3 linked regions of the Lepisosteus oculatus genome follow. The main gene of each other region encodes a partner of the protein of the gene in region 2 in a complex. Links are inferred from orthologs where the notes say so. Each region holds a gene or a part of one and is shown on either strand. Other genes may lie near its edges.

Region 1 (7,626 bases), on a different chromosome or scaffold from region 2:
TTTCTTTGCTCTGACCATGCTATTAAAAGATCACTATATTTACTGGTAAAATCATTATGTAAAAAAGGAAATGAGTGTTAATTTTATCATCTCCTTATAGCAAGGGTCTGCAACTCTGGTCCTGGCTAGCTGCAATGTCTTCTGCTTGACACAATCAGTTGTTTAATGGGTAGTCCAAACCTCTGCTCACTGAGCATTTAGTGATGCCTGTTAAGGCTGCAGGAGCTCTCCAGGACCAGGATTGTAGAGCTAAGCAATGAGACACTGCAGAGACAGGCCAATCACTGCACTGCACCCACTTCAGATGAGAGATCCATTCAGCGGCTCTCCAAACTATCTCCACTATTTTGTAGACAGGTTGAAGAGTCAACAAATCAGAATGTGTTTTTGAGTAAACATTCTAAAGTACAGGAAGATCATTAGATACTTTTACGATGAGGTGATGGATATTTGATATTACATTAGACACTACAACTACGAGTTAAATTGTTAACGTTTTTAGGAAGAAGTCAGACCCTCACAAGAGACAACACTCACCTCAGCCAGCTCAAACTCAATAAATGCAAATCCTCTGTGCTTTTCTGCAAACAGAGAGCAGTACAGGTATTAAAAGAACAGACAACATTTCACAATAACACAAAGTTTGCAAGCGAAAGGGTGCCGTTTGGTCCATCTAGCCTGCTTGGTAGTCAGAAGCTTACTGATCCCGTGACTAAATCCAGTTGTTCCATGAAAGAAACCTGCATCGACTTCAACACAGTTTCTATTTGGAAAACCAATAAAAAGGAACTTTAGGGAACCCAAATCATTCAAACCCAAATGCAATTTAGCTTTGATATTGTAGAGAACACCTCTATTCTTTCATGCTTTAAAGACAAAGCAGTAAGGACCGGGTCTTCACATCTCATCTGAAGTGTGGCACCTGCTAAAGCAGGGGAGGTCCAGTCACCTGTGTGGAGCTTTGGTTAGGAAACTGGTCCAGATGGAAGAGTGGCACCTCCTGCTCAGCCAGAACCACCTTTAGCACCAAACTGATAGTCCTTTGACTATAGTAATGGCAACACTGCTGTCAGACTACTTCCAAGGCTGGACAGTTAATTTTTGGCGGCCCTATCGTTTTCTGCAAGACATGTGGGAAACCATTTTTCGCAGCGTGTGTGTTAACCTGTCTCATAGTCCAGAGGGATCTGGATGTCGGTGATGTCGCCAAAGGGAATGAACGCCGCGTGCAGAACCTTCTCGTCCACCTCCTCCGCGAGGCCACCTGCGAGACAGGGAGACTCACACGTGACCAAGGCGATCCCCAAGCGTCAGTAAAGGGTCCCCGCCGCACGTCGGCATCACACTACAGGCCTATACGGACTTCTAGTCAGAGAGCATGTCAAATTTAACGACTGCAGCTGCTGAATCTCGCTGCCTTTTCTGTCCTAGAGGGCGTCAAATTATACGACTAGGAAAAGCAGGGGGTGACTAATTACACGATTCCCTCACGACGTTTCATCACAGTTTCAAATCTCGTGTTGCACCGCAAAAGTACCGTGGGGTCCCCTCGTTTTGGCAGCCCATCAACGTAGAGCACACTGGAATAGGAGGAGGAGCGCCGCGCGAAAGTAAACAAACAACATGGAGGACGAGCACGGAAACATCCTGACAAGGGTGACACAGGCATTGTTTTCCACAAATAGACCCCTTCAAAAATATCATTCTTCTTTATAAATATAGAACGAATTTACAAAAATAAAACAGTTAAAAATATAAAACACCTTTAAAACAAATAGTGTAAACAAATTAGTATTGCGCTAGAACGTGTAATATAATGGGCACATTATCTCACGAGTACACACCTGGCTCACTGCACAACACTACGACTTGCGACTCGCTACCAGAAAATCAAACGGTGTGATTTTATCGTAGCGAGTTGCAGAGAGTGGTGGGGGCTGTTAAGAGCGCTATGACTGAGTCGCTGGGGGTGTCACACTACACAGCTGACGGTAACGGGCGCACACTGCGACTCTACAACTCGCTGTGAGTTTCTTCCGATCGTGTACATGAAGGCTACAACTGAAAATCCTAGGAAAAGTCACGTAGTGTGACGCCGGCATTAGGGACCTAATGGGATATATAGGGGGATTGCTCCCCAGTAGAACAACGCAAGAACAAGGTAAACGTGGAGGTTAGGATTTTTGCCCATGTGAGCTAGCACACAGGGGCTTTTTCCATGAGAATCAATGAAATAAAAGGAGGTTGTAGAACAGAAGTGAGACTAAATGTGTGTTTCAGACTTAGCTACTCAAAAACAGTATACAGTATAACTATACATCCACACAAAACATTTACCAGTTTTACTATATCCTTTCACTCACTTTTATCTCGACTTACCAATCATTTTAACAAAACATCAATTTAAGCAAACGTCTGTTAAGCTAACACTTGTTTCTATCATATTGCTTTCTGAGAAGTAGACAAGTTGGGCGTGATCATCAACTCATACAATAGTCCACAAGAGTACTCAAAGGACTTCAAATAGTGCCTGGGTGCAACCATCAAGTCGGTGTTTTCCCAATATGTCAACTTAAATCGGGGCTGACAAGCGTCTCAAACAGCAAAAGACTAAAACTGAACAGAAATAAACCATTCAGAATAAAAACAATCGACATTTAAGGGATACGCATGTGGTGGTCAAGCTTTTCACAAAACATAGTAAAGTGCAACTGTAATCTGTCGCTTTAATTACGTCATTGTCCCGCTCATCGTTTGAATCTGCTAGAGGTACCGCTGCCAGCCAGGGCTATTTTTTTAAATGCACGGCATGCTTTTGCAATTCATCCTTTAAATTAAAAACAAAGTGTTTATCAAAAGACACTATGGTGAGATGGGCATTGGGGATCAAGGAATGAGTTCACCAAGAAACCATTAACACTTATTGAAACCTAATCTTCAAGACTAAGACAAAGAAAGAACCGTATCTTACAGAGCAGTAAAATGTCATTCAAACTTTCTTATTTCTTCATACAATTCACAAAAGCAGTTTTTTAAACAACTTACCAACATACAGCACACGCTTGGCGGCCGCCATCTTCACTGTGCCCTTTGACCCAACATAAACCCCGCCCTTTCCTGTGCAACTCCTTCAGATGTCCGTTCCGTGCGGCAGTAAGTCCCACACGTGGTTCAGTATAGATCCGTGAGATTGTGCGCGTCCGAGTTCAGTGTTAGGCAGAAATTACACCCATTTTTAAATTGCCGTAGTTTTTGTTTTGAGCCTATATGACCGCTGAAGATTGGCGGCTAAAAAGACATCAAGTAGGTTGTGTCGCTGGATGAATTTCAGTACTGTGGGATTTGTTTGTCCGCTTCAAACTGTTTTAAAAAAAGATGCATTTTACGGTTCCCGTGGAAAAACTGGTGTTGCCCTCTAACAAGAGGATAAGACGAGGCGAACAAGAAGGGAACGAGAGGGTAAGGATAGAGACACACCCAGGGGCAAGTTCATCAATGTTTCATCCTTTATTGAGAAAGTCACACCATCCAGGGATTACAGGGGTCGGAGGTTTCAACCATCCCAATCAAATCACCACAACTCAAAAGCCTGCAGTCAAAAGTTTTTTTCCCCAGGGAGAGAAAAAAAAACAGTCCTGGCCACAAGAAACAAACAGTTCAAGTATAGTATTTGTTAAAAACAAATCCCCCTTTCAGCTTGTACTTATATAATTTAAATATATATATATTTCATTTATTAATTACTAAAATATAATTTAAAAGAATTGTAATTATATGTTTTTTTTAAGTTGTTCAAGTATGGTTTTATTTTTGCATTCAGTTTACAGGAAGAACCAGGTAAATGCGACAGCGAAGACCACTGGATCCCTCTTCTTTGGGTCTAGTTCTTGAAAAAGCCTGGAAAATGAAAGAAACCTTTATTCCCCTTTCCTGGAAAAAAGCCCCCCATGTCCCTTCTGTAAGCACATGTCACCCCCCCCCCCCCCCCACCCACCCCCACCACGCAGCACATCTTCCGCTGCCTCCTGTATCGATCAGATCAGATCAGATGCTGTACCACAGCAAAAGCAGAGTGAAGTATAGCTGAGTGGTAAGAGGCATGGTATGTCACAGTGTAGCACAAACCACAGCAAGCCCCAGGATAACAGACGCAGTCGCTGGAAATTTTAAAAGCCCTTGCACAGGTTTTGATGCCCCCTGCTTTGAAGGATGCAGGTTTGGGACAACGTGGAAAATGTCCCAAAGACAGAACAGCGGTGTGGCTGTTAGGTGTGATGGCCAATAGGGGGAAGCACTGTTCAGAGAAGGCTTCCAGGGCAATACTGGGAGGTGCACAAAATGCCTAGTGAAAAGATTGCAGATCTGCTTCTGTCATAAAGTAGGAAAGAACCAGCCAAGCACGTCTGATCTGTCGCTCTTCTTCAGCGGAGGGGTGCGAAGCCCCCCAAGTTGCGGTTTCTGCAGTCTGGCACCGAGCAGAGCCTCCACGGCCACAGCCACCCTTACCCGTCAGGAGGTCGCAGCCGTGGTGATGACCCCCACCTTCTGCGCAGCGTCCTTCTTTGCCTGGTGAGCCTGGAGCACAGCAACGGCCTCTTCAACCTGAGTCATTGCAGTGCAATGCAATATAATTCAATTACAACAAGACACAAGACTGGACAACACACAGCTGTACGGCTGCATGCAATTCAGCTTCCCCGTCTTGATGGAATGGGCTCGTACAGCCGTTCAGCACATGGAAGGGACCCCAGGACTCTTTTATTAAAGAATGAGTGATCCTGAATCACTGACAAACAGTCATTATTGCAATACAGTGCTTATAAGACTCAAGACCACGTATCTGCAATGGATGCTGCCACCTTCTAGCCTGAACTCCTCTGATCTCGGAAACTACAGCTTTGGCAGGACCAGAATGGGAAAACCCCTGGTGAAAAACTAGATTGCTCCTGCATGTGGGATTCGAGGTCCAGCAGGTGATTCTTCCCTTTGGATCACAATTCATGAAACCACCGCCCCAGTATGACTGGAGACACTCTGCTAGAGCAGATGTTGTCCTATTGGATGACATGTTAAAACCGAGGTCCCAACTACGTGACTCTTAAAAGAGCCCCTGACACTGACCCTGAGATTCAGCGCCATGGTTAAATCCCAGTTGTACGATCTAGCCTACTACAAACTCCCTGTTACCCCAGGTGGCAGAGCAGTCCCTGGCTTCTCCACCTGCCCTGCTGTGCAGTTGGGCAGCAGTGTGTCACCCAGGTGGGCGGGTTGCGGAAGGCTTTCCCATCCTGTCGGTAAAGACGTACAGGGATCCCCTGGGATGATCAGTGTAATCCATCGGCTGAGTTTCCCTGCGTGGAGCCGGCCGCGTACCTTGGAGCGCAGGGACTCATGGGACTCCAGCATGTGCAGCAGCTCTGAGTTATCGATCTCCAGCAGCATTCCGGTGATCTTCCCAGCCAGGCTGGGGTGCATGGCCTGGATCAGGGGGAACAGGCGCTCCCCTGGATTGAGAGAGAGGAAGTAAAGGAGAGTCAGGAGAAGAAGAGGGTGAAATGTGATCTCCTTAGACCTAGTTTTTTAATGTTTGTGTTATTGCGCCTGATTTATTATTATTTTATAATGTTCAAAAGTAGCATCCAGTCTAAGAATCACCTGTTTTAAATCACCCTACCTCTGATTTATGGTCAGCCCTAGCAGTAGGTTCTACAGACTTATGCTCCACACAGAAGGCATCATGACACAAGGGCAAGTAACATACAGTGCAACATTTGATCAAAATCCCGTTTTGGTAATTTTGTTGAAAATGAGAGGTGAGTAAGGATGACAGGAAATTGACTTCTCCCAAGCAGGGAGAGGTGAGGGAATCCTCCATCCATGAGAAGCTGAGAATGAAGCTGAGAAGATGAGAACAGCAAACTCTTCCTCCTCAGTACTAAGCTATCCCTAAACATCTTTTTTGGATCCAAGCTGCTGACCAATCGACCAGCAAGTGGGAACTGCTCCTGCACCGATAAGGACACTGAGGGTGAGAAGACACTCAATGGCGTCTCGTAATCACCCAGCATCTGCTTCTGCTCCTGTGGGGGGGCGGCGGCCAGCATCGAGGCGGTGAGGGGCTCCTGTCCCTGGACGTGCACCGCCGGCTGGGTCTGAGGAAGGCAGAGAGAGCGTGTGGGACAGGCACCTCCGACACCAGTAGGTGCTGACTACCTCCTGCGTCTATCCCCAGCGGAGCCCGAGAAGCCGTCCGTACCTGCTGCAGGGAGAGGGGCTGCATCACCTGGGGCGGGGGGTTGCGCACACTGGTGGCGTATTTGTAGGGTGGGACGGCCCTTGGCGTTGGCACTGCCACGGAGGGACGGGGGCCCATGGTCTGACCAGCCCCTCCTACAAACACACAGCAAGAGCAGGAGAGCGAGAGCTCAGTCCCAGAGTGCAGGTCTGACCCGAGACCTCATTTTCCATCAGAAAACAACAACTGACAAATGCAAGTGACCTTTTTAGGCCTCACACAGCTCCGTAGTTTTAATCCTCCCTTTCTGCACTTCCCTCTTCCTTACCCATTCTCTGCGCCCCAGCTGGGATTCCCCGGGGGCCTTGCGTGCTGGAACCGGGCGCCAGGTGCCGCAGGTTGGCACGGGGCCCGCTCTGACGCAGGGCGCCAGGCATTGCCTGAAAGCCACCTGCAGGGGGAAGGACAGAGGGGGAGGAGATGAAGGGAAGGAGCTCTCTGCGTCTCTGCTCACCCAGGAGTATTTATGATAAGAGCTTGAGCAGGGAAATTAGGTGAACTGGCAGACAGTATGCATTCTCTTGCTTATCCTGTTTAAAGTACGTGCAGTTAAAATCGATGGCATCGCAGATGTATTGGTGCTTCCAGCACAAAAGGATTCAAGCTTCACATGGTCACCACCCCTCTGAAAAACGGGACAGTCCATTTCCTCTTTCACTCCCGCCCACCCCTCACCCCCGGGGGCTCAGAGCTCCTCACCCTGTGGTCGGCCCCCCTGCTGCTGCCAGCGTGGGTTGGGCCTCATCTGTGTCAGCTGATTTGGCGCGTAGTACGTCGCTCGGTTCTGGGCCTGGAAGAAAGACACACAGGTAAAGCAGACGTGACCTTTCCCCAGCTCGCGGGGGGCACAAACACCCCCACGCTTCATTTCACCCCCGTTCTCCCCCGCACCTGTGGCACGGCGGGCATGAAGTAGCCGCCGGCGGGCTGGAACTGGTTGATGATGGCATTGGCGGGCATGGCCCTCATGCCGGCGATGCGCTGCATGTACTGGTTGGTGAGGTGAGCCTTGCGCTCCTCCTTGCGCTGAGCCAGCGCCACGTACAGCGGCTTGGAGCCCACGATGCGCCCGTTCATCTCCGTCACGGCCTTGGTGGCCTCCTCCGGGGAGGAGAAGCACACGAACCCGAAGCCCTTGGACCTCCCTTCCTCCAGCATCACCTGGGGAGACAGAGGGAGGCAGCAGCATCAGGACCGGAGCGCCTACTGCACGGGCATGGCCCTTCACTCTGCAGGCTGGCACTGCAATGCTCTTCCGTTCTTATCAACACTGTCCAGTCCTCCACCATGTTCCTACAGCCTCTCCTGAATGTGCTGTCCTTTCCTACGGT
Region 2 (7,472 bases):
CATCGCCAGCACCTGTCCGAGATCGGGACTCCAACACAGCCGACGGGCGAGTTCGCGATTTAAAACCTGGAGTTGAGCCCCGTCCGCCCTGCTTAGCACGTAAAGCTGAGAATGTTACTCATCAGAGAGCAACCCTTTTTTTTAGAAAACGCACAGCTGTCTCGCAATAATAGAAGTTTAAATCCAATTTTAAAGGAACCTCTTCAAGTGCGAGTGAACCAGCTCTCCCTCATGAAGTATCTGCAGTCCAGAGGCCGCGCTCGTTTCCCAGTTAAACCAGGTTGTAGAAGATTAAATCTAAGACGACGAAAAGGTTGCTAAAAAGACTCCCGAAAAACTTAGAACATCAACTGAAACTCAGCGGCGATTTATGTATTTTATTAAAAATGATATATCCTGGTATAAGATGCGCCTCTGTCACAGCCTGCACAACCTTGTCTGGACTGCTGAGCCACACGAAGGCACAGTTCACTGGGAGATAAAATAAAGTCGCACTGAAATCTAAAACACCACATTAAGCCGCGACCTTCTGCGGCTAAAAATAGATATCTTTAAAAAAATACACAGCTGGCGCTGGAGAAGAGAGTTTTGTGCAAATGGAGGTCTGTCTTCAGTCCAAACGAGGGCTCCTTAATGTAGCTTTCGATCCGGGTTTAACTACTTGTTGCTGTTTTAAAGAAGTAATATTTTTTTTTAATTAAAGGCTGACGATATCGGAAAAAGCGAGTTAAAACAGCGAAGCAATTAAAAGTTCGGCTAACTAAGCGAGCAAACACGGGCAATGTTTAGGACGCTCCTATCGCTAATATTAGTTACCGCTACAATGTTAGAAGCCTTCTGCTGAGCTGTATCTCCTTAAACGACCTGAGCCACCCCGCCCCGCCCTACCCGCCAGACTAAAGCGGAGTGACTCACACAGTATGCATGTTAAATTGGAGCCAAGCCCGTGCCTGGCGAGGGGCGTTGGAGCACCGTTGCATTTCGGGAGTTGTAGTTTGTGTGCAATTGAATTCCAAAGTAAACTTTATTATTGTCATTCCCTAATGGCAAATGGACAGCGTCCAGTACAGGACTACAACATATTCTGTGAGATGTATGAGACGTAAAACCGAGGTCCCGACTCTCTGCAGTTAAAAATCCCAGGACGTTTCTCGAAAAGAGTAGGGGTGTAACCCCGGCGTCTTGGCCAAATTTCCCATTGGCCCTTATCAATCATGGCCTCCTAATAATCCCCCTCTATGAATTGGCTACATTACTCTGCTCTCCTCCCCACTGAGAGCTGATGTGTGGTGAACGTTGTGGCGCACTATGGCTGCTGTCGCATCATCCAGGTGGATGCTGCACATTGGTGGTGGTGGAGGGGAGTCCCCATTACCTGTAAAGCGCTTTGAGTGGAGTGTCCAGAAAAGTGCTATATAAGTGCAAGCAATTATTATTATCATTATTACTATTATTATTATAACCTCCCGGGAGGTTAGATCTCTGCCACGCGATAGCGGGGCTCTCACACCGATCCTGCAAAACTGCCTCCGCGCCTCCGCCGCCCCCGTCTTAACAGACTTCCCAACCCGTGCGGGTCCTGACCCGAGGGCCCCTGGCTTTAATTCACACACTGCGTACAGCACCTCTGGGTCACGAGTCAGCCAGCTGTGCCGTTACACACTGCACTGCCCTCCTGCAGTCAGGCCCTGGGCTGCGGGGCACTGCCATGCCACCCTGGTGCCACCCTCGGCCACCTGCTTCCCCGCACCGAGCTTTCCGGCGTCCTGATCTCCCCACCCTGCCCTGCCCTGCCCTCTCGGGCCCTGTGCTCCCCCGAGGAAGAGGGGGTTCCTGGTTTGGAAGAGCGGGTTGGACTCTCTTGCTCACCCACGGATCGTAATTGTGAACAAACTGGAAGAAACCTCACGGGGCGCCCCACCGCCGAGCCCCGAAACTGCTCAGCATCTTCACCGACCCCCCTCTCCTCCCCGTCACTGGCTCACCCTGATGTGCTCATTCAGACCTGTATTTAAGCTGCGTGTGAGGTGACTGGGTTTGTGGCTGTGGCTGCTGTTCTGTGTCTGTGGTTTTGGGTGACCCCTTTAAAGTCTTTGAACTGCAAGCGGAGCTGAGCTCTGTCCTCCGCGGACGGGGGCTGGAGACGGCGGCTGCGATCAGGCTCTGCGAGGCAGGAGGGGGCGTCAGTGAGAACAGGAGGACTGTTGGAATCGAGAGGCCCGTGTGCACTTCTCGTTCACTCGACTGAGAATGCTCACTGTGAGGGGACCTGTGTGTCTCTCCCCCACACCGACCCAAGACCAGATTTCAGATAAGACCACTTTATTGGCCATATACAATTTCTTGCATTTGTCTTTTCCCATACCCCAGCTTGCTCTCCATGAGACACACAGACAGGGAGCTTTTATATTTCATTATTTCATATTTCCATAGGGTCAGCTATTTATACGGCACCCCTGGAGCAGTTGGGGTTAAGGGTCTTGCTCAGGGGCCCAACTGAGTAGGATTCCTCTGCCGGCTGCGGGATTTGAACCGGCAACCTTCCAGCCACAGGAGCATATCCTTAGCCACAGAGCCACCGGTTCGCCCCCTGTTGGGTAGTTAGGAGCTAGTTGATCCCAGGATTTCATCCAGCATCCAGAAACCAGTGTATTGGTTTTAACATCATGGCTGGGAAGCTTGTTCCACACTCCCACCGCCCTTTGTGTAAAGACATGCCTCTTGACCTGACTGCAGGACCTCGTCCAGGTTCTTGAGAGAAGCCAGAGTATCGGCTTCAACGACATCAGTGGATACAAATCATCCTGCAACTCATACATCATACATAGCAGCCATATCACCCTGCAACTCACAACTGGCAACCCACTGAAGCTAAGCAGGTGTGAGCCTGGTCAGAACCTGGATGGGAGACCTCCTGGGAAAAACTAAGGTTGCTGCTGGAAGAGGTGTTAGTGGGGCCAGTAGGGGGCGCTCACCCTGTGGTCCACGTGGGTCCTAATGCCCCAGTATATTGACGGGGACACTGTACTGTAAACAGGCCCCGTCCTTCGGATGAGATGTAAAACCGAGGTCCTGACTCTCTGTGGTCATTAAAAATCCCAGGGCGTTTCTTGAAAAGAGTAGGGGTGTAACCCCGGCGTCCTGGCCAAATTTCCCATTGGCCCTTATCAATCATGGCCTCCTAATAATCCCCCTCTATGAATTGGCTACATTACTCTGCTCTCCTCCCCACTGATAGCTGATGTGTGGGGAGCGTTCTGGCGCACTATGGCTGCCGTTGCATCATCCAGGTGGATGCTGCACATTGGTGGTGGTGGAGGGGAGTCCCCATTACCTGTAAAGCGCTTTGAGTGGAGTGTCCAGAAAAGCGCTATATAAGTGTAAGCAATTATTATTATTAATTATCCTGGTTTCTTCCCCCTTTCCGCTGGTAAGCGTTACAGGAGCATAAAGTCACGAACCTCCTCCACATTCAGAGACACTTTCTTCCCTGCAAACTGTCAGATTATTCAATCCATGCTGAAAAGAGAAGAAAGAAGACACAATGTTTCGGCCGTTGAGCCTTCTTCAGGTGCCGAAACGTTGCGTTTTCTCTCTTCTCTTTTCAGCATGGAATAAACCTATTACTTGTTCCATTGCAGCCTACGCATGCTGACGCAGCTCCCCACCTGAACTACTTCAGATTATTCAATTCTACCTCTACCACTGACTCATACTGACGTTTTTTTTCCACATTTCTTGTGCTGACTTGTATTTTAAATTGTATGTGATTTCACTTCACTGCTGTTCTGTGTTTATATTTTGGTGTTTCCTCAATGTCTTTGTATTGGAGCATACATGCAAACAAGCATTTCATTGCACTCGTGCATAAGACAAGCGAACTCAGCTGAACTGGGCCACTTGTTCCACACTTGGTTTCTTTCAAGAAACAGCTGGATGGGATTGTAGTGCTAATAGCTTCTACCAACCCAATGGGTTAGACGTAACATTTCTTAGGATGGCCTGCAAGCTCACACGTTCACTGGCTTTCCCACTCTAGTCGCATACTGCTAACAGAAATTTCTTTTAGCCAATGAAAATGAGAGTACCTGGCGCTCTAACGACAACCTTTCTCTCGACCCAGAAGGAGGCGGGCCTGTAAGTCGTGATTCGCCTGTGGATTGGCTCAATTTGTCAAATGGGCGGTGTCGGAGGAGCATCGCGCCGAGTAAGAACACCTGTCATTGGTCAAGATGTGGGAGAAGGCGGGGCTGGAGGACCGGGAGCTCTCGGAAGCTATCCCAGCATGCCGAGCGCGCCGCGGCGGTACTAAGTCGCGCGGCGTGTTGTTGCAGAGTTGTAATTCGCTGGGGCAAGTGTGTAAAAAATAAATCAAATCTACCGAAAGGACAGCGGAGATCTCCAGCACCCGATTCCGTTGTTGGCTGGAGGGTTTGAATCATGTCTTTCGTTTGTGCTAGTAAGTCCTGGCCGCCGGGAAAGCTCGGAAAAAAAGAGTTTCATTGTGAAGTAAAGACGCGTTGTAAATGTCGGCACGCAGTCGAGTTTTCCAGGGCTTGCGGCGATACACATCGTGAATTTGCCGATAGTAGCAGCAGTAGCGTGGGTTTCGTGTGTTGTGTAGAAAAAGCCTGTGTTTCTGGGAATGTTTTGGGTGCGCGAGTTGAGTTGAGGTGAGGTGGGAGTGTGGGTCGGGGGAGGTGACGGAAGTTCGTTTCTCTCCCGTGTTGCAGTCTCTGCGCCTCATCGCTGCTTATTGAGACGGGTTTTTCTGCCTAAAAGTAACATCGGCGGCGGCAGGATTGTGCCACTGCACGTGTGAGCCCACAGTCCTGCGTGAGGCTCCCCCACTCGAGAAGGGAGCTGTGCAAGGGTCCTCTGGCCTTGCAGTTCTGATGGTAACAGTACCTGCTGCCTGGGCACAGGCGGGTTTGTGCGCCGCAGGGCCTGATGCAGACGTTCAAAGACGACTGCTTTTGTTTTCCCGGATGATTTTCAGAGAGGCCGTTACCCTCGTGGGTTAACAGCCGTGTCTGTGTTGCCGTGGGAGGGGGGGTTGTGTGAACTTCAGTGGACACTGACTCCGTCTTGCTCTCCCCCAGTCTGTCACGAGGTGCCGGAGCACCCCTGCGTGTCCCCGGTGTCCAACCAGGTGTTCGAGCGGCGGCTGATCGAGAAGTACATCGCGGAGAACGGCGCTGACCCCATCACCGGCCAGCCGCTGTCCGAGGAGCAGCTGGTGGACATCAAGGGTGAGGCTTCTGTGTGTCTGCTGTCCCTCTATCACTAATCCCAGCCCCAGTGCTGTCCAGCTGCTGGACATCAAGGGTGAGGCCTCTGTGTGTCTGCTGTCCCTCTATCACTAATCCCAGCCCCAGTGCTGTCCAGCTGCTGGACATCAAGGGTGAGGCTTCTGTGTGTCTGCTGTCCCTCTATCACTAATCCCAGCCCCAGTGCTGTCCAGCTGCTGGACATCAAGGGTGAGGCTTCTGTTTGTCTGCTGTCCCTCTAGCCCTAATCCCAGCCCCAGTGCTGTCCAGCTGCTGGACATCAAGGGTGAGGCTTCTGTGTGTCTGCTGTCACTCTATCACTAATCCCAACCCAGTGCTGTCCAGCTGCTGGACATCAAGGGTGAGGCCTCTGTGTGTCTGCTGTCCCTCTAGCCCTAATCCCAGCCCCAGTGCTGTCCAGCTGCTGGACATCAAGGGTGAGGCTTCTGTGTGTCTGCTGTCCCTCTATCACTAATCCCAGCCCCAGTGCTGTCCAGCTGCTGGACATCAAGGGTGAGGCTTCTGTGTGTCTGCTGTCACTCTAGCCCTAATCCCAGCCCCAGTGCTGTCCATCTGCTGGACATCAAGGGTGAGGCTTCTGTGTGTCTGCTGTCCCTCTATCACTAATCCCAGCCCCAGTGCTGTCCATCTGTTGGAGATCAAGAGTGAGGCTTCTGTGTGTCTGCTGTCAATCTAACCCTAATCCCAGCCCCAGTGCTGTCCAGCTGCTGAAGAGCAGCTTGTAGACATCAAGGGTGAGGATTCTGTGTGTCTGCTGTCAGTCTAACCCTAACCCCAACCTCGTCTGCTGTCCAGCTGCTGTCTGAAGAGCAGCTCGTGGACATCAAAGGTGAGGTGTGTCTTGCCATCTCCCACGCTGCACTGCTGGGATGCCTGAGCAGCTCGCTGCTGTAGGAGGCGTGAAAGATGAACCTCAGCACTGTGTTCTACCGCATGGCTGACCCGGTAGGGAGCTACGTCCTGGGAGAGGTGGATCTAGCCGAGCAGCGCGGGGAAGGGTCCTTTTCCGCACAACATCGTGTCCTCCTGCACGGCCGGGGAAGGCTGTCGGCAGACCTGAAAGCACACGCGTGCTTGCTGTTCCTGCTGATGTAGCGGGGCTCGGAGTGCTCAGCCCCTTCTGACTCGTGCACAGTGTCAGACTCGGCCGTGGAGTTATCCCCTGTCTCCGCAGCGGCCGAGAGCTGCTGGGGTCTAATCCCAGCAGGGGCAGGGAGAGCTGTAGCTTCTTTCGCCCCTGGAAGTGCTGCATTGGAGCCTTCATGTTGGACTGAACACTTCCACTGGAACAAATGCATGTATATCATGATTCCTTTCCCGTCCAACCCTTCTACTTACTAACTGATCCGAGGATCTCGGCCTGCAGTTTCTTTAAAGAGTCCAGGGTATCGGCTTCAACGTCATAGCAGGGCGGTTTGTTTTACACTCACACTCCCACTCCCACTCGTAAACTAGCTTTAGTGAAGAAAGAAGTTTGTTCCAGGTCCCTGGTGTCTGAGCCTTGGGGTCTTATTTGTGTTCTTGGCTTATGCAGAAGCAAGCCTTGTGTACTGCTAGAGACTTCAGAAAAAAAACCCATTAAGTACAGTCCAAACAGTTTCTGATTTCTGTGCTGAAGGAATCGAGATCCTGATGCGCGGAGCTCCCACTGCTGGTGTCAGCAGGACCTGTCGAGTTCCAGAGGGACCGTCTCTATTAACCACCCTCTCTCTCTTTCAGTCTCTCACCCCATCAGGCCCAAGGCTCCGTCTGCAACCAGTATTCCTGCCATTCTCAAGGCACTACAGGATGAGTGGGTGAGTTTCTCAGTGTGTCTGGACTGTATTAACCCCTCTCTCAGTGCAGTGTTAATGTACTGGAGTGTCCAGTCAGTGTGTCTGGACTGTATTAACCCCTCTCTCTCAGTGTTAATGTACTGGAGTGTCCAGTGAGGGTCTGTCGTGTTTTATTTGCTGTAGTAACTCCACTGTCTGTCTTTCAGGATGCAGTGATGCTGCACAGCTTCACTCTCAGACAGCAGCTGCAGACGACTCGTCAGGAGCTGTCTCACGCCCTGTATCAGCATGATGCCGCCTGCCGTGTCATTGCCCGGCTCACCAAGGAGGTCACCGCTGCCAGAGAAGGTACAGCTCTCAGTGCCTTTTGTCTGGTCGCCTGTTGTCGTTCATCCTTGTTAGACAT
Region 3 (7,604 bases), on a different chromosome or scaffold from region 2:
CTCCTTGGAGACGAAGGTCTCGTCGTTGACGATGGCGGCCAGGCGAACCGCGGCCTCGTCCAGGCGGTTCACTGACCGCAGGTACTCGATGTACTCCTCCGCGTTCTCCGGGCACAGCTGCGCAGAGACAGAGAGTCAGGCCCCCTTCCCGTGCGCTGCGGGCCGAGCCCTCGGCTCTCCCCGCGGGGGAGGGGGGCGGCGGCGGCGGCGGCGCGCTCACCTTGAGGTAGCGGCGGTAGACCCTGACGGCCGTCTCGGGCAGCGGGTAGCGGCAGACGAAGCGCAGGTAGAGCGGCCAGACGCGGAAGTGCTGGGTGACGGGCAGCGCCCGCAGCGCGCGGTCGAACGTCCGCCGGCTGCGCGTGATCTTGCACTGATCCACCAGGAACTGGCAGTAATCCAGCCAGATCCGCGGCATCTGAGAGAGGAGAGAGACGGGAGAGGCTCCTTCAGAACAAGCACTGCACTCTTGCTCCTCCAACGTGCTCACTGAGACACAGGCAGTTTTTCTGGAGGGGGCAACCGGTTTGCCTCTCATAAACTCTCTGCAAGGTTTTTAACTGGTCGGGTACCAGAATAAAGCCCTACTCCCGAGGAAACGCAGACGGGACGGAACAGATCTTGTGGTTGGTTGACGGGCCGCTACCTTGTGCATGAAGACCAGCGCCCTCTCGTGGCAGTTGTTGACCTCCTCGAAGGACAGATCGGTGACACACTTCCCCTTCACCTGTTTCCTGCGCTCCCTCAGGTAGTTGTACCACAGCTTGTAACTGCAGAGACAGCCGGGACTTTAATCAGCAACCACTGAGAGGTGAAAAACTCCTCACCTGCACAACTTGAACTGCATTTAGATTCTGCTCTTCGCTTCACCCCTCAACTACGTGCCTTCCTGTCCCAAAACGATTACCGTAACTCCGGAATCGAAGGCCTTTGCTTCATTATGCTTAGAAATGCTGCTGTGGTTATAATGGTTGATTTGGCTTGCCAACCCTGAATGCTGCACAAAATAACCGCAACAAAATACCAGCCTTTTAACCTGAAGGTTTGATATTAAATGTTCAAGATCTGTCTCTAGATTTTGAATATAGTGACTGAAGAGATTTTCTTTGTGGTCACTTTCTGTTTGAATACCCCAGTGATTAGAAATCAGCCCCAGTACCACCCAGGGAGAAACCTGTGGGCACAACAGTCCTACACACCCACGGCCTGTGAAAGCCATTTGGGGGCAGCAGGCCCCAGGAAGCACAGCTGAGGCCCGTGGCACCCCTAAACCAGAATTCACTCAGTCAGTCGTGATGTCCCCTCTGAGGAGTCATGATCACAGTTGGCTACTGACACAGCCCAGGCTCAATCAGTGTCAGCGGAGCACATACATACACATGCAGCAGACTGCACGTTATCGCAGCGGACTTCTTCAGAACCAACAGCGAAACACGAACCAGAGAACACAACTGGGCACAGCATTTAGACCCGAGAACAGGAGGCGCTTTTCTACACAGAATATCACGGGAGTCAGGAACAAACTACCCTGACATGCTGTTGAAGCGAATGCTACGGTTTCCTTCAATTAATTAACTCATGGGCTCTTGTCTAAGTGAATTCTCAAAGGATCAAAGGTTTCAGTCACTTCTGGCGTGCCTGCAGAATACTCCATAAAGTTATTTCACAGGACCTAGCTGGCTGATTACAAGCAGACTCAGTCTTAAAGCGCTCGTCTTTACAGAAAGGGAGGTGGGGGTGTGGAACAAGCTCCCCAGCCACACGGTCAAAGCAGGATGCCAGGGATCCTTCAGGAAATGGGCTGGTGATGAGACGCCAGGGTCAACGAGCTACCGAACAAGCTGACCTCTCTGAACTCGGGTCCCTGGGCAGAGTCTGTCTGTGTCTCCCGGGGGGGAGCGAGCCGGGCCGAGCCGGGCCTCACCTGCCGGGCAGCTCCTTCAGTGCCCTCTCGTACACCATGTTGAGGACGCTCTTGGGACCACTCTGCTTGTGCTCGATGTACCTCATCCAGCACTTGACGGAGTAGGGGTTCCGGATGATCTCCTCTTCATAGGGGAGGTCTTCTTCCTCCTGCAGACCGGCAGACAGCAGACAGAAAGACAGACAGGGGGGGAGAGAGAGGGACAGAATGAGACAGAGACAGAGGAGGAGGAGGAGAGAAAGAGAGACAGAAGGACGGGGAGAGAGAGGAGTGAGGAAGACAGACAGAAGGAGGGGGAGGGAGAGAGACAGAACGAAGGAGAGTTGGAAAAGTTACAAGTTGCGAGCAAAACAGCGTCTTCGAAAATGCAAACACCACCGTTCCTTCTGATCCCAGCTCCCCCTTATCAAACGTTTGTGCGAAAACGACTGTTTGTATTTATCCCAGTGATCATCCAGCACCTTCAGAGAGATCACGGGTGTACAGAGACACGGGCAGGGGGGAAGAGGGGACACGGATAAGTATTGGTATGTATGGGTACATATTTAACAAAGGGGGAGAAGTACCGTCAGTCGTGTCTACCTCTTCGATACACCAGTTGCTTTTTAAAACCCATCACGCGTTTGACGAGTTGCGAGCTGAGCGTTTAAAATGCTGCCTGAAAACTGCATAAATGCAAAGTCTTCTGAGGGATATTAGGAATGAAGCTGATTCTTTCAAACGTAATTGTTGAGTAATAAATTAAGATTGTTTAAAGATCCGAGTCGTGTGTTGGTCACTGTTTAATCGCTGCAGACGTGTATCTGAAATTAGTAAAAAAACATTAATTGGAGAAACTGCGGTCTGCGTCTCAATTTAAGTACACATCTCTCAAGTTTCCCACTTTTAACAATGCCCATGCCGATGATGACCCCCTATCCGTAAAGCCCTCACGCCAGAACAGGACGCATTCGTCCCCCCTACACTGACTCAGGCAAGTCCGAGGCTCAACCGAGGCCTACGGGGGGAACAAGCTTCAAAATCACGCTACGGCCCGACAGCTACACTTTCCAGTTAATAATAATAAGACTTTACAAAATCCTACTTACAAATGTGACCTCTCGTTTTTCCGTTAATGACGGCATTATGTATGGTATAAAACAAAATTAAGTTTGAAATTCCGTGATAAATTAACTTCCAGAACGCGCTACCGACGAATCCCCCAATCACCGCCCACTGCGGGAATCTCATTGGACAATTCACACTGCGTCATCCTGACAGCCAATGACCGTGCTTGTCTTGGTAAGCCCCGCTACGTATGAAAGTTACGTACTACGACGTAGTGTACTGTGTACATAATGTAACTGAATATTGATAATGATGCAAAGGAGCAAGTTAAAGGTTTATTCCATCCTGAAAAAAGAAGAAAGGAAGCACAACGTTTCGACTGTGGAGCCTTCTTCGGGTGTGATTGGTAATTATGGTTTTGTTAAGCTTTTTTCCACATGTGAAATTTGGAAGCAAAATATTATTAAAACATTGTTTTAAATGGTTAGATGATAAAACATCCCAAAGCGTCGAATTCCTTAAAACCTTAATAAGGAAGATTATCTGAGGTGCGATTATAGCTAGTGAACACTATCCAGGAGTGGTGATCTAAAGTATAGGTCCATTGTGTGTTGCCCATGATCCATAGTCTGGGCCTGGCCACAGACAAGACACCTGCATCGCAAGATGGAAATCGGGGGCAGAGAATGTAGAGGGGAACACACAGAGCTTTCTAACTCTGGAACGCCAGACTAAAGACGTCACTGCGGGGCCTCTCGAACAGGAGCAGTATGAGTTTCACAATGGGTCTTGCCCAAGATTGGAGCTGCAGTCGTGGATGTGGAATACACAGAGAATTAACAAGAACGAAAAGAGCACAGTTAAAATAAAATCCAGGATAAAACTAAACAAAAAAACAACCAGGCATGTTGTGTGTCATGCACTCCTGATTCTCTCTCCCCACTAAAATGAGTGTCTCCTTGATAAGGGTGAGGTGGCAGTTACTGGCCTGTTCAGGGATTGTTTGAGGTTTCACTAGCTGGCTGCAGTGTGTGGAGAAAGAGACACTCAGGGACACTCTTGTGCATCAGCTGTGGAGTTTATATTCTGTGCTGTTAGGAGTGAAGATACAGAAAGTCATACAGACTGCCCTCCTCTCAGATTGACCAGTGTCCCTCCCAGTGCACTGCATTCTTCAAGCCCTGAACCACAGCCTGGGCCAGTCTCACAATTCACCACAGTTCACTACAAAACACTGACGACAAGGACAGGAGAATGTATATCTAACGCTTCTATACGCAAAAAACAGAGTGAGATCTCCAGAGGAACAAGTCCTTCTCTTTCCCTGTGCCTCTCCCTCTCCTCTTTCTCTTTCTCCCTCTCTCCTCCCTCTCTCTCCCAATTTCAATTCAATTCAATTCAAGGTGCTTTATTAGCAGTACAATCAGTGTTGCCAAAGCAAATAAAAATAAAATTAAGATGAAACAGAACACAAATTAAAAATAAAGTAAAATCTACAGACATATTACAGACATTTACAACAAAGACATATCATAAAATATTTACATATACTGTAAACATAATTAGCATTATTGGGAGACAGACTCACTGTTCCTCAGGCTGTGACAGGAGATCACATACTGGGCTGCCAGTTCAGCTGAGTTCCCTCCTCCCTCTCCCAGTAGGATTGGGACCTGTTGTGATTCTGGCAGGTGGGCCTAGATTTCTGAATTTCGGGAAGAATGTTTCTCTAATCCCAGAGTATTTGTCACAGTACAGTGCACCTCTGTCTCTATTTCTCCCCGCTGGCAGTGGGAGCACAACCTGTCCTCTCTGGGCAGCCAGGTCTGCCTGTGTCGCCCAGTTTCTATAGCCAGGCTGTGGTCACTGAGCCTGTACTTCGTCAGGGTCTGTTTCTGTTTGTTGTTTCTTACCTTGGTCAAATATTCGGCTAGTGTGTATTGTCTGTTTAGGGTTCTGTAGCATTCCAGTTTATGTTGTATTTGTGTGTGTGTCCCAGTGTGTGAGATATTATTGTCTGATCTGTGCTGTGATATGGCTGAGTCTGAGTTGTGGTGCTCTTGCAGTACTATCCTGATGCTGGTTAGTGTTGGTGTGGATCAGGTCAGTGAGCCTCAGGACCAGCTGGCTCAGGGGGCTCTGTTTTGGGCTCAGTAGGGCTTTGTGGTGGTAGGAATTTTGGTCTCTGTTTTTTAGGTGTAGCCAATACTTTAATACTCTTTTCTGTATTTTTATCAATAGTGGGTACTGGCCTAATTCAGCCCTGCACCCGTTGTTTGGTGTTTTTCTCTGCACATGGAGGATGTTTCTACAGATCTCCATGTGCAGAGTTTCTGTGGGGTGTTTGTCCCATTGAGTGTAATCCTGGTCTGTGAGGGGACCCCACACTTCACTGCCGTATAGGGCAATGGGTTGGATTACACTTTCAAATATTTGGAGCCAGATTCTTGTTGGTGGGTTGATGTTGAAGAGCCTCCTTCTTATTGCGTAGAAAGCCCTGAGTGCCTTCTCCCTCGGTGCCTTCTCTCCCCCCTCTCCCCAGCCCCCCCAAGTCCCTCTCATGGACGTGTCTTTTTCTTTCCCAGCTGTGCCGTGTGAACATGGTTGATGAAGGAGAAGTAGTCATCTCCAGGAGCGATGGGCCCCGAGGATGTGGGGGGTCGAGGCGGCCCTGGGGGGGCCCCGGGAGTGGGGCAGCGCTGGTCCTCCATCCTGGACCCCTGCGTGCAACACAGGGCAGAAACAGGCAGTTTAAAACGCGGGTTCATGGCGCTGTGGCCCCTAGGCACTGCCTGCTGCTGCTCACCTGCAGCTTGAAGACCATGCAGCAGAGCTGCCCCGCCCCCTGCCTGATCCCTCGCCACGCCCACCCTGCTGCTGCTCACATGCAGCTTGAAGACCATGCTGCAGAGCTGCCCCGCCCCCTGCCTGATCCCTCGCCACGCCCACCCTGCTGCTGCTCACCTGCAGCTTGAAGACCATGCTGCACAGCTGCCCCGCCCCCTGCCTGATCCCTCGCCACGCCCACCCTGCTGCTGCTCACATGCAGCTTGAAGACCATGCTGCAGAGCTGCTCCGCCCCCTGCCCTGCCCCCTCTCCATGCCCACCCTGCTGCTGCTCACCTGCAGCTTGAAGACCATGCTGCAGAGCTGCTCCGCCCCCTGCCCTGCCCCCTCATCACGCCCACAAGGCAACGGCCCAAGCGACACCCGCTGGTCGTCAAGGCGATGACTCTGAGTGGTCATCAGGAGGTCAAAGAGGTCATCGATCTCTGGGCCAGCAGAGCCTGAGAGTGAGAGGAGGAGAGGAGGAGAGGAGGAGAGGAGGAGAGGAGGAGAGAGGGTGGAGAGAGGAGGAAGAGAGGAGGAGAGAGGGAGGGAGTGGGAGAGAGGGATAAAGAAAGAGAGAGAGGAGGAGAGATAGGGAGAGAGTGGGACAGAAAAGAATGGAGATGGAGGGAGGAGGAGGAAGAGGAGGACAGAGAGGAGGAGGGAGAGAGGAAGAGAGAGATGGAAAGAAGGATGACATGAGTCCTGGGTTTCTCCACTCATATTCGTGTTTGTGTGTGGTCCGTGTGGCCAGAATGGAGACCCTTGTGGAAGCCAGGCTAGGGGCGCTCGACGGGGGTACTCACCAGCAGTGGGGGTCCCGCTGGGGGTGCTGACGGTTTTGCCCAGGTCAATGGGGCAGCGCTGCTCATCCAGACGGCCTCCCTGCACTTGGCTCAGGAGCTGGAAGAAGCTGTCGGCCTCTGTGTGCTCGGTGTCTGCCCTCTAGTGGACAAAAAGTGACACTGCAGTGCTCGCTCACAAAACCACAGCGAGAAACGGATGCGTTGCTTAGAGGGAATAAAAAAAAGAAACTTTCTTAAACGTTTTTAAATCTTTTAAACTTGGAAGGATCGCAAACAGATGTCTTGGACTTGATATCCTGACACCTTTTTTTAACCTTCTCAACATCGGTGTGCACATAACAATATAACACAGTGCCCAAGTAGCCAATCAGCACTCTTCCCATTCAGATTAACAGCATTGATTGACCAATTAGCAAACTACAAAAATGTTGATAGTGGTAGCCTATCAGTGGTTACGATTAAATTGGCCAGCCAATCAGAATGCAAAGTTTATTATGAGACACCTAAGCAAGCAAACCCATCCCAGTGGCACAACTTCCATTGTTTTTAATCTACAGTCTTCCAGCTCATTTTATTTTTATAAGCAAAATAAGCAATTTACTGAGTTAGTTTTCTTAACCGAAGCACACGTTAGATCTGACACCTCCCCCTGAAAACCTTCCAGATTTTCTCCAGGCTTTCATGAAGGAGACCCAGAAGCGATGAATAGAAGAACACAGCATCTCTGTTGATTACTCACCTGACGTCCTTCCCTGGAGCCACTCTGGGTCCCTCCCTTTGTGTTTGAGTCCGCAGCAGTCATTGTTAAACTCCAGCCGGGCGAGACACAAAATAAATGAATATTTAAACACCTCAGGTGTAGTCTCAGAGCTGTATTGGGAGTCACAGGCACTGCAGGAGCTGAACACACTCCGATCGGCAGACAGCAAGAGGACCACAGCTCTTTTATAAAGGCGCTTTATCCCTGAGCTCATCCCCAACCTCCCCAGAAACACAGT

Evidence for each region.
Region 1: prpf19 (region 2) and ppie share a complex: the UniProt entries of both Homo sapiens proteins name them as parts of the XAB2 complex. The link is inferred for Lepisosteus oculatus from reciprocal best matches to the Homo sapiens genes PRPF19 and PPIE.
Region 3: prpf19 (region 2) and xab2 share a complex: the UniProt entries of both Homo sapiens proteins name them as parts of the XAB2 complex. The link is inferred for Lepisosteus oculatus from reciprocal best matches to the Homo sapiens genes PRPF19 and XAB2.

What each region holds. Positions count from the first base shown.
Region 1 is NC_090706.1:2,459,951-2,467,576, reverse strand, and holds the start of ppie (peptidyl-prolyl cis-trans isomerase E), read right to left. Parts: upstream 3,140-7,626; 5' UTR 3,077-3,139; coding exon 3,046-3,076; intron 1,265-3,045; coding exon 1,166-1,264; intron 582-1,165; coding exon 538-581; intron 1-537. Other genes in the region: pabpc4 (polyadenylate-binding protein 4), read right to left, coding at 4,510-4,602, 5,374-5,504, 6,062-6,152, 6,257-6,390, 6,564-6,686, 6,995-7,085, 7,187-7,456. UniProt on the Homo sapiens protein: Involved in pre-mRNA splicing as component of the spliceosome. Combines RNA-binding and PPIase activities.
Region 2 is NC_090701.1:41,961,418-41,968,889, reverse strand, and holds the start of prpf19 (pre-mRNA-processing factor 19), read left to right. Parts: upstream 1-4,273; 5' UTR 4,274-4,440; coding exon 4,441-4,459; intron 4,460-5,102; coding exon 5,103-5,252; intron 5,253-7,010; coding exon 7,011-7,087; intron 7,088-7,272; coding exon 7,273-7,414; intron 7,415-7,472. Other genes in the region: voltage-gated monoatomic cation channel TMEM109, read right to left, coding at 1-3. UniProt on the Homo sapiens protein: Ubiquitin-protein ligase which is a core component of several complexes mainly involved pre-mRNA splicing and DNA repair. Required for pre-mRNA splicing as component of the spliceosome.
Region 3 is NC_090706.1:14,358,414-14,366,017, reverse strand, and holds the start of xab2 (pre-mRNA-splicing factor SYF1), read right to left. Parts: upstream 3,140-7,604; 5' UTR 3,049-3,139; coding exon 3,013-3,048; intron 2,074-3,012; coding exon 1,925-2,073; intron 771-1,924; coding exon 647-770; intron 419-646; coding exon 221-418; intron 118-220; coding exon 1-117. Other genes in the region: G-protein-signaling modulator 1, read right to left, coding at 5,530-5,691, 6,095-6,258, 6,607-6,745, 7,346-7,408. UniProt on the Homo sapiens protein: Involved in pre-mRNA splicing as component of the spliceosome. Involved in transcription-coupled repair (TCR), transcription and pre-mRNA splicing.